3 linked regions of the Astyanax mexicanus genome follow. The protein of the gene in region 2 purifies or fractionates together with the protein of the main gene of each other region. This does not show direct contact. Links are inferred from orthologs where the notes say so. Each region holds a gene or a part of one and is shown on either strand. Other genes may lie near its edges.

Evidence for each region.
Region 1: the proteins of ddx20 (region 2) and gemin2 purify together in Homo sapiens (affinity purification with mass spectrometry; 6 studies listed by BioGRID and IntAct, counting the BioPlex papers as one, with this or other methods). This does not show direct contact. The link is inferred for Astyanax mexicanus from reciprocal best matches to the Homo sapiens genes DDX20 and GEMIN2.
Region 3: the proteins of ddx20 (region 2) and gemin5 purify together in Homo sapiens (affinity purification with western blotting; 6 studies listed by BioGRID and IntAct, counting the BioPlex papers as one, with this or other methods). This does not show direct contact. The link is inferred for Astyanax mexicanus from reciprocal best matches to the Homo sapiens genes DDX20 and GEMIN5.

Annotation. Positions count from the first base shown.
Region 1 is NC_064421.1:1,231,353-1,235,108, reverse strand, and holds the start of gemin2 (gem-associated protein 2), read right to left. Parts: upstream 2,563-3,756; 5' UTR 2,467-2,562; coding exon 2,351-2,466; intron 823-2,350; coding exon 738-822; intron 636-737; coding exon 546-635; intron 1-545. UniProt on the Homo sapiens protein: The SMN complex catalyzes the assembly of small nuclear ribonucleoproteins (snRNPs), the building blocks of the spliceosome, and thereby plays an important role in the splicing of cellular pre-mRNAs.
Region 2 is NC_064419.1:43,219,955-43,223,710, forward strand, and holds the start of ddx20 (probable ATP-dependent RNA helicase DDX20), read left to right. Parts: upstream 1-995; 5' UTR 996-1,054; coding exon 1,055-1,250; intron 1,251-3,756.
Region 3 is NC_064424.1:17,793,985-17,797,740, forward strand, and holds the start of gemin5 (gem-associated protein 5), read right to left. Parts: upstream 2,594-3,756; 5' UTR 2,460-2,593; coding exon 2,318-2,459; intron 2,224-2,317; coding exon 2,069-2,223; intron 791-2,068; coding exon 609-790; intron 519-608; coding exon 364-518; intron 227-363; coding exon 128-226; intron 1-127. Other genes in the region: mrpl22 (39S ribosomal protein L22, mitochondrial), read left to right, coding at 3,522-3,549, 3,640-3,682. UniProt on the Homo sapiens protein: The SMN complex catalyzes the assembly of small nuclear ribonucleoproteins (snRNPs), the building blocks of the spliceosome, and thereby plays an important role in the splicing of cellular pre-mRNAs.

The sequences.
Region 1 (3,756 bases), on a different chromosome or scaffold from region 2:
TATATATTTTTTGTTCCTTTAGGCAGGAAGATCTTATAAACATGAAGGAGTCTATAAGTTGACTTTGTTCAAAAACAGTGTTTTTATTTTCTTTTGTTTATGTTTTTACAGTTTAGTGTTCTTTAAAACTGATAATTGCAGTATTATGCCATTATATTATAATTATATCAGAGGCATAAAATCACAATAATATTGTTTACTGCAATCATTTCTGGGACACTATATAATCCAAGCAAAAACAGATATTGTGGCAGGTCTACATCTACTCTTTTTTTACATAATAAAAGTCTTCAAAATTGTAAAAAGTAAACCTTGGATTTTGCTTCTCCATCAGGACAGAAGAACATCTATATAACATTTTATTTAACATGTATGTTAAACAAAATGTTACAGAACATTTTTCTACACATTTCAGACAGTTTCTATTTATTTACTAAATTTAACACACTGATAAAAATGTTTATTACAAATACAAAAAATGTTTATTGTACCATTATTATGCTCAGTGATTGTTTTACTCAGATAAGTAATAAAAAGTGTTTTACCTGTCTGACTTCAGAGAAGCTGCTGACCTGCTGCTGCTGCCACTTCAGGCTGGGGGAGAATCCGTGAGGAGCCGTCCGACAGCCACTGAGCTAAACACACACACACACACACACACGTTTAGCATCTCACACACACCATTATATCACACACTCACACACACTTATCATTATATCTTACACAAACACACTTACAGAAACGTTCACTGACTGGTTCTTCCTCAGCTTCTTGGGATCAATCTGAGCTACAACAACATCCGGACACAGAGAAGCTTCACGCCTGTGATACACACACACACACACACACACACACACACACACACACACACATTCATACAACTCAGACTAGTTCTGTGAGGCTGCATCCTAAATCACTCTATGCTCCCTACATAGGGCACTTCAACTAGCCCAGGACAGTGCACTATCCAGGCCAGGGTACGAGGTATAAAGACTTTAGGCAGCTAGTCAGAAGTCAGAATGCCAGATTGCCAGTAGTCAGAATGCCAACTAGTCAGAATGCCAACTAGTCAGAATGCCAGCTAGTCAGTAGTCAGAATGCCAACTAGTCAGAATGCCAGCTAGTCAGTAGTCAGAATGCCAGCTAGTCAGTAGTCAGAATGCCAACTAGTCAGAATGCCAGCTAGTCAGTAGTCAGAATGCCAGCTAGTCAGTATTCAGAATGCCAGCTAGTCAGTAGTCAGAATGCCAGATTGCCAGTAGTCAGAATGCCAACTAGTCAGAATGCCAGCTAGTCAGTAGTCAGAATGCCAACTAGTCAGAATGCCAGCTAGTCAGTAGTCAGAATGCCAACTAGTCAGAATGCCAGCTAGTCAGTAGTCAGAATGCCAACTAGTCAGAATGCCAGCTAGTCAGTAGTCAGAATGCCAACTAGTCAGAATGCCAGCTAGTCAGTAGTCAGAATGCCAGCTAGTCAGTAGTCAGAATGCCAGCTAGTCAGTAGTCAGAATGCCAGCTAGTCAGTAGTCAGAATGCCAGCTAGTCAGAATGCCAGCTAGTCAGAATGCCAGCTAGTCAGTAGTCAGAATGCCATCTAGTCAGTAGTCATAATGCCAGCTAGTCAATAGTCAGAATGCCAGCTAGTCAGTAGTCAGAATGCCAGATTGTCAGTAGTGAGTTGCCAGAATGCCAGACAGTAGTCAGAATCACATGCTAGCTAGTCAGTAATCAGAATGGCAGCTAGTCAGAAGTCAGTAGTCTGAATGGTAGCTAGTCAGTAGTCAGTAGTGAGCATAACAGCTAGTCAGTAGTCACAATGCCAGAAAGAATGTAGTCAGTAGTCAGAATGCCAGCTAATCAGTAGTCAGTAATCAGTAGTCGGAGTCTATTAAGTAGTCAGTAGTTAGGAATACCAGCCCACTTAGCACTTAGCTCTTGGTCAGAATCAACCAGTGCTTAATAGTTAGAATGCCAGCCAGTCAGTTCTCAGTAGTTACAGTGCCAGCCAATCAGCACTCGGCAGCCAGATTTTCATTTTAGCAGCCAATCAGTAGCACTCAGTCCATAAAATGATGACATTAAAATATACATTATTTTAATTTCTCCGCTGTTTTTTTAGTAGAGATATAAATATCCTTTAACTAGTGTTTATAGTTTTCTGTGCTTACACAACTGTGTGTGTGTCTGTGTGTGTGTGTGTCTGTGTGTGTGTGTTTGTGTGTGTGTGTGTGTGTGTGTGTCTGTGTGTGTGTGTGTGTGTGTCTGTGTGTGTGTGTGTGTGTGTCTGTGTGTGTGTGTGTTTGTGTGTGTTTGTGTGTGTGTATAAGAGTGTGTGTGCTAAAAGCTCGTACTGCACGTGTCTCAGGTACTCCTGCGGGTTCCTCGGCGGCTCCTTTAAAGTGTATCCTTCCTCCTCCTCCTGCGCGCGCGGCTCCACCGGCAGCAGTCTGGGCATCAGCTCCTCCATCCCTGTCCTCTATTCACCTGTTCTACACACACACTCACCTGCTCTCAACACACACAGCTCTCCCGCTACTGTTTACCTCACACTGTTCTTCTCCGCCTGCAGCTCACACACACACACCACCACTACCTCCCCCTGCAGGACACACCGCGCTACTGCAGCACAGCTCATATACACACATCACTAAGTAGCTCCTCTTGTTTAGATGATCAGTTTTGAACATCTCTGCTGGATTTTCTCAGTTAGTTTTATGAGGTAGAGTCACCTGGAATTCAGTCTTTCAGTTAACAGCTGTGCTGAACTCATCAAGAGTTAATTACATTCAATTCAATTTTATTTATATAGCGCTTTTTACAACAAATGTTGTCACAAAGCTGCTTTACAGGAAAAACAGGTCCACGCCTCTTATGAGCAGCACCACAGAGATGCTGATTTTATGGTGACACAGTGGCAAGGAAAAACTCCCTTTAAGAGGAAGAAACCTTGGAAGGAACCAAGACTCAGTCCGAGGAACCCATCCTACTCGGGTTGACCCGCTCAGTACAAACAAACAACAAACAACAAACAGAACAAAACAGTACAGAGAATTAATGTGAACTATGGCTAATATAACAGGTACTAATTTATGAATATAAGAATGTGATGGGCACAAACTATAGAGCTATGGCTAATACAGAAACAGATACTGAGTGTGTTAATGGTAATCAGTGCAGGGCTGCAGAGCCGGAGAACAACACAGCGGGCAGTGGAGAGCCAGGCTGGGAACATCAGGAACAGCATCTCCATACATGTAAAAGAGATAGATAGAGAAAACAGAAAGGAAAGAAAGAGAAACAAAAAGCAAGAGTTAGAAGGGTTGTGTAATAATTCTGATTTTTGAGTAGAAGGACAGGGCTGAAAAAGGGAAGAAAAAGGGGTTAGAATGGTTTTATAAAACTCTGCTGGAGTGGGATGGGCACTGGTAGCAGCAGCTCAGGACATGGGGAGAGAAAGAGAAAGCAGATGATTAGGACAGGGTTTATATTTGCTGGATAAGCTGTAAGAGGAAGAAAATTGTAATGAGACATTACTCAAAAGCTTGAGCAAATAGAAATGTTTTGAGTCTAGATTTAAAGATTGAGAGTGTGTCTGAGTCCCGTATATTAATAGGGAGGCTATTTCAAAGTTGGGGAGCTTTATAAAAGAACGCTCTTCCTCCTGCATAGTTTTTTCTAATACGCGGGACTAATAACAGGCCAGCGTCTTGGGAGCGGAGTGAACGCGGCGGATTGTAAGGAGTAAGGAGTTCCTGTA
Region 2 (3,756 bases):
AATGCCGTTAAAGCAGAGAAAGCACTAGAATATGCAGAACAGTGGGGTATGCAGTAGAATATGCAGGAACAGGGTTTAGAAACACTGCTGTAACCTGACCTCTGTTTATTTGTGGTTCACAGTTAGACCACAGTAAGACCACATGTCCTGAGTAAATACAGGAATTCCAGTCAAATCCAAATGTGTTTTTTTTTTTTTTTTTTTTGTAATTGTATGTTTTGCGCAACTATATAACAACTTATTCAATAGTGTGTCAATGTTTAAACCAGTTTGAGAAAAGTGTAAAGAGAAAGTGAATCTTGCAAAATTAGTTACTTTAAATAGGTGAGTTGGGAATGTTGCAAAATTCATTTATTTTAATAGTTCAGGGTTAGGGTTTTTTAGAGTTTGCTCAAACCTCAAGTATTAAGTAAAAGAGAAGATGTTGATCTGGAGAAAGAGGAAATGTGGAGAGGACTGAAATGAACTGATCTAATCAAGACTGGACTGAGCAAAAGAAAGAACAGGTTAAGAGAAGCAAGACTAGGCATACAGGATATATGAGTAATTCTTAAAGAGTACTAATTGTGTAGCCCCTTAGGACTAATCACTATTTAGGACTAATAAATATTTCCTTCAACAGTTTGTTTCCATGTCATAAAATGTAAAGGTACAATTTAGAAAAAAGTGAATTGTTTACATTATTACATTGTTACATTTTTAAGGAATATATCTGTCCTTTAGTAAAATCTTATGATACTGTTTTTGGGTCACCAACAGTCATTTAGCAGAATTTGAGCAATCCATGTTCAATTTTAAATCCATTGAATTAAAAAATATATAACTTTACATTACAGTGTTAGACATAGTAAAAAAAATTAAAGATTAAAATCTGATTATGATGTGTTGTTTGTAGATATTATAAATCAGGAAATATAGTGTACAGTCTCTATCTAGTGGATATCAGCAGTAACTGCAGCTGCAGTAACTCTCCTCTCCAGCAGAGGCCCTCAGTTCAGCTTCAGCAGTGAAACCCCACAACAGCAGTAGCGGAGCGGAGCGGGGCTGGAGAAGCATGGCGGCGCCCAGGAGACAGGCTGCTCATCAGATAGACAACAGGAAGCGCACTGAAGATGTTCTGCTGTCTGATGGAGTTCAGTTCAGCTCTCTGCTGCTCTCCAAACCCGTGCTGGAGGGGCTGTCCTCCTCCGGCTTCCAGAGACCCTCTCCCATCCAGCTGAAGGCCATTCCGCTCGGCCGCTGCGGCCTGGGTCAGTCTCTAGCTCACTTATTACACTAATACTCACTAATAATTACTATTAATACACTTACTCACTAATAGTACACTTACTCCCACTTACATTTACTAATAATACACTTACTCTCACTAATACTCACTACTAATACACCTACTCTTACTAATAATACACTTACACTTACCTAAACTCACTAATAATACACCTACTCTCACTAATACTCACTACTAATACACATACTCCTACTAATAATACACTTACTCTCACTAATACTCACTACTAATACACATACTCTTACTAATTCTCACTACTAATACACCTACTCTTACTAATACTACACTTACACTCACTAATACTCACTACTAATACACATACTCCTAAAAATAAAACACTTACTCTCACTAATACTCACTACTAATACACATACTCCTAAAAATAAAACACTTACTCTCACTAATTCTCACTACTAATACACATACTCTTACTAATAATTAATTTACACTTACCTAAACTCACTAATAATACACCTACTCTCACTAATAATACATTTACTATTACCTATACTTACTGATAATACATTTACTTTCACTAATACTCACTAATAATGCACTTACACCTACCTATACTAACTAATAATACTCCTACAATAACTTATACTCACTAGTTTTACACTTACTCTGACTAATACTCAGTTATAATACACTTACTTATACTCACAAATAATAAGCTTACTTTCACTAATCATCATCATCATCGGCGGTCACTCGTAATCGAGTATGACTATCCTCCTTCTTAATCCTTGTGGGTCTTCAGATGGGCGTAGAGGCCGATTCTGGACCCAATTATTCTTGTACAATATGGACAAGGGAAAGTAGCAGTAGTAGGTTTGGGTCTGGCCTGCTTGGATGTTGCTCTCTCTTTTCTAAGTCTGTGTTTGACTTATTGGCAATTGCCACCTTATCCTTCAGCAAGGTAAGTCCATCTTTAGAGCGAAGGGGGGTTAGGCAGCGATGGCTGGGGCCATATACTGCTCTTGTGGCATCAAAGAAACTCCTCATATCTCCATAATCCGCATACTGCTGGATCTCCAGAGCCTTCTTTGTCCACCAATGATTCTTCAGTTTCCTAACTTGCATTTGGACGGCTGCCTTCGCTTTGGCATGGGCTGCTCTTTTAACCTTACAGTTGATGTTATTTTGCCAGGAAACAAAGGCCTTATGCTTGGTGTCTATAAGATGTTGAATCTCCGCGTCATTCTCATCATACCAGTCTTGATGCCTCCGTTTTTTAAGACCAAGAATGCCTTTGCAGGATTTCATGATGGTAGAAGAAAGTATGCGCCAGTGTTCTTCAATGTCCTCTGGATACTGTTTGGGCAGGTCAGCACTCAAAGCGTTCTGCACCCCTCTTTCCCGCATTACACGAATAGACATGATGGAGTGAATAAGACGGTGATCAGTCCAACAGTCGTCTGCACTGTCGTCTGTCATTGATCTGGTGTTAAAAACATCATGGCGGTCTTTGGAGCGGACAGTAACATAGTCGATGAGATGCCATAGTTTGGAGCGAGGGTGCATCCAAGATGTTTTGAGCTTAGTTTTCTGGCGGAAGAGTGTGTTAGTGACGACCAGGTTGTGCTCTGCACACTTCGTTAGCAGCAGTAAGCCATTCTTGTTAGAGTTTCCAACCCCTTCTCTGCCCAGCGTACCCCGCCATAGATGGTGTTTTCGTCCCACCCTGGCGTTGAAATCTCCAAGCAGTATTAACTTGTCCTCCTTAGGGACTTTGGATAAAAGTTTGTCCAGGTCAGCGTAGAAGGCCTCCTTTACTTGATCCTGTGCATCAAGTGTTGGAGCGTAGGCACTGATAACGGTGGCTCTCTGACTGCTGACAAGCATCAGGCGCATGGTCATCAGGCGCTCATTGATGCCCACAGGGAGTTCATAGAGGTATTTGACAAGGCTGTTCTTAACCACAAATCCCACACCATGGATTCGCGCCTCGTTTGCGGGCTTTCCTTTCCAGAAGAAAGTGTAGCCACCTTTTTCCTCCTTTAGCTGCCCTTCATCAGCCAGTCGTGTCTCAGAAAGTGCTGCGATGTCAATGTGGAGCTTCTTTAGTGCCCTGGAAATGATGGCAGTTCGTCTTTCAGGGCGCACACTGGTTTGATTGTCCATGAGGGTCCGCACATTCCAAGTTCCAATATATAGATGTTTCCGTTTCAATTTCTGTTTCTGACCGCATAATGGTGATCCTTCTGGACGCGGTATTCCAAACAGGAGTTTTTGAGGCAGGCTATGTTTAGGGTACCTTTTCTAACCCCCTCCCCTGCTGGGGTGAGCAGAGTGGATCCTTAATAGGGCTGCTTAGTCATGGGTGCAGCTGCCGAAATGCTCTTTCTGCCTCAAACCAGGAGCTTAGCGACTGTATTTAACACCCTTCGCCTGTGTGCCAGGTTGTGGCTAGGAACTCCCAGACATCACAATCCTGTTCCCGTCACCACTTCCTGATCGCCACAGGG
Region 3 (3,756 bases), on a different chromosome or scaffold from region 2:
ATACCTATAAATAGCAAAATCTGATAAACTGATTCAGAAACTGAAGTGGTCTCTATTTTTTTGCCAGAGCTGTAGAATATTTAAAAACATTTTAAAAGACCAATGATTACCAATAAGGTTTTCTCACCTTTGCCTCGTGCTGTGCTCCAGATTCGAACAGTCTGATCTCGACTCCCAGAAGCAAGGTAGCCTCCTCCCTCTATCTCTGTTAATCCATTTGATGCATCTGTTGACAACAAGCACAGCTGAGTTGTGTGAAGCATATTTTTCTAGGATTTAGTTGATATTTTGCCTGATGCATTTACCTACATCATCTATCTAAAAATTCTCATTATAACATCCACCATCAAACAAATCACGCACCAGTGTTGTCTGCTGGTCTAAAACAGTACAGATCCTCTTCCTTGGGTTCAGGACACCAGGCCAGGGCGTGGATCTCCTCATCGTGACCCCGAAGCCGATGGATTACCTCTCCTTTCTTGCTAATATCGATCAATACAATCATTCCATCCTTGTACCTTAAAGAAAAATGCCATTAGCTCTCCCTCAGACAGACATGAAAGGAAAAAAACATTTTACCATTGCATTTTGTGTGGTATGACACTTACCCAACTGCAACATGGTTCTCGTTGTGTGGGGAACATGCTAAACAGAAGATGGTTCTGGGTTCAGGGAAGAAGCTGTGGATGTCATTCCTGCTATACCAAAAGCATACCACAATGCCTTTCTCGTCTCCTGACACCACAAGACCCTTCTCCACTGGAGACCAATGAAGGGAGGTGATGATGTTCTAAACAAACAAACACAAAACACATTTCACAGCACATTACTCCAATAGACTCGGTTCTGATCCATCAGCTCACAGATGCCTTGTGCTGATCAACATCACCCTAGGACTGATGAGGGGAAAGAGCACCATCTAACCACCCAGAGAGAGCAAATACAATTGTGCTCTCTTAGGGCTGTGGCAGCTGATGGCAAGCTGCATGACCGGGACTGGAAAGAGTGATCTCCCAAACATAGTGGTAGCACTTTAGACTGCTGGACCACTCTGTGCCATCCCCCTCATTACTACATTACTATCATAATTGGCATTAGTTTCATTAGTCCCATAATAGAACCCTGTGGGATCCCACAAGATATTTACCAAATAATTCACTATAGTTTCTGCATTTGGACAATAACTTAAGGAAATGTAAAAAATGCCAGCCAGACAAAAGCTTTCCAACCAGAATAGACCAAGCTGGTCAACCAGCATAACCAGCAATACCAAGTAGGTTGACCTACAAGACCAAGCTGGTTGATAATTATAATAAAATGTAATGTAATGTAACAAAATAAAAATGTAACGTACACCGTGCTGGTCAATAGCTGGTTAACAGGTTTAAGGTATGCTTTTCAACCACTTTGACCACCAAACACCATTTGTCTAGCTCAGGGGTGTCCAAACTGCGGCCCGTTTCCTTTTTTAGACCGGCCCGCGAGGTGTTATAGAAATAGAATGAAAGTTGGCCCGCTGTTAAGCAGGTTTTTATAATGTGAGATTCAAAGTTTGAACACTAGGTGTCAGAAACGGGCCAAAGAGTCTAAAAGCGGAGAGAGTGCTCAAGTGTAGCACAGAAAAACAGGCCAAAGAGTCTAAAAGCGGAGAGGATGCGCATTTCTAACGCAGAAAAACGGGGCAAAAGAGTCTAAAAGTTGCCGTGATTAAGGAGTTTAATATTAAGAGACATCATGAAATTAAACATCAATTTGAAAAATCTTAGTTTACAAAAACACTGTCAAAGATAAAGATAGTCAGTCAAGTAAAATGGTGTGTAAATTAAATAATCAGGAAAATGTATCAAAAAAAGTTTGGACACCCCTGGTCTAGCTATACAACTAATTTCTTAGATTAAACTACATTACAAAGATATGTAATAAACAGAATTAGGATTTGTCCCATTTTTCCAATTGCCATAAAGAACAACCTTATAAGGTGTGGTGAGTCTCTGTGGAGAGTGTAAAGAGTACCCTAACCCCCTCCCACCATTTCTGTAAAAACACGCTGCTCCAGCTGTGGACCTACCTGATGAGCACTGTGCTCTGCCAACACAGCCTTCTGCTCAGTGTCCCACACCTTCACTGATTTATCATCTGAACTGCTGGCACAGATGTGCTCCTGCCCTTCATGCTGACAGAAAGCAAAGCCAGAAACTCTCTCTGTGTGACCACTGAGTTCTCCTGTGGGTCAGGAACAAAAACGACACTTTCAGTAGGATATGAATACAGAAATAAGTGTAGCTCAATTCCCAAAGGTAAACAACATAATTCTCACCTAGAACTGCAGCTGAGTCTGCAGTAACTTTCAGCAGGTAAACTGTGCTTTTAGCCCCAAAGCCCAGCACTCCGCTACTGTTCACATCACTGCAGCGGGAGCAGTACCAGTTCGGAGAAGCTGGAAGAAGCCTCTCGTGCATTCTGAGTGAAACGTGCTGTTTAAAAGGTGAGAAACAGGATTTCTGGTGAGTTACAGTGTTCAGCTAGCAGCTAAAGCTAACCGCTCCATTCACACACATGCTGCTTCTCCATCAACACAGCGAGAGCCGTCCGGCGGTGAGAGGTGTCGCAAACACTGCCGGTGTAAATTTTTTCCCCATTTTTTCTTTCTTATTGAAGCTTTATTAATAATAAATACAGTTTAAATATTCAAAGGCAAAACACTGGAGCTAATAGTCTGATACAATAATAGCGAAAGGCTAAAGAATATATTAAGCAGAAACAATATATATATATATATATATATATATATATATATATATATATATATATATATATATATATATATATATATACATATACAAATTAAATATAAATATACTTATAATATAATATATACAAATAAAATTATTAAAAAATAGAAACTCTTCAAAAGATGTAAAGAAGTTTTTTTTACACAATTTAAGTGTTTAATTCAAAATTATATTGTTTTAACACCTTTAAAGCCCATATAGCAAAATATATTTTAATAATATCTTATTTAAAAGTCTTTTTTTCTTCTTTTTTTCATTACTAATGCATTAAAACAACATAGATCTCTGATGTCAGAATTTATTTATTTACTTGTTCATTAATTTTAAGTTGATTTAACATTGATTGAACGTAATACATTAGATGATTAACATGTGTGCAAAAATATATATTTTTAATTTTTATTTATTTTGTTTTGAATTATAAAAAAAGTTATAAGTTAAAGTTCAAACTAAATGCCATGGTAAAATGCAAGAAAGGTATTTTTTATTTTTATATATTATGTATTCAATTTATATAAATATTAGGATCCATAGACAGGGTATCATTGGAATTCCAAAAAATCCTTTAAAAAGGAAAATAATATATTTGGTTATTCAGTGCTCTTTATAAGGACTTTATTTAATTTCATTTGTTTTTTTTTTGCAGGATAAAATAATTCTCCCTCATAACTAAATCGCCTCTATCTTTTTGCGACATTGGTGGGCGGTTTGCGGTAGTGTGTTTTCAGCATGGCGGTGTCCGCAGTGTCAGTGGCTGGTGGGTGAACAGAGCTAGCGCTTTTACTGTTTATAAAGATCCAGCTCGCTGTGTTTCTCTCTGATTTTAACGCGTTTATCATCTCCGCAGGTCCGGCCCTCCTCAGCCGGTTGGTGGGACAAATTCAGGCGAGGTTTGTTGCTTGTTGTTATTTGGTTAGCGAGTGAGTTAGCCTAGCCTAGCCTGTCCTGCAGCCTGTTGATATAG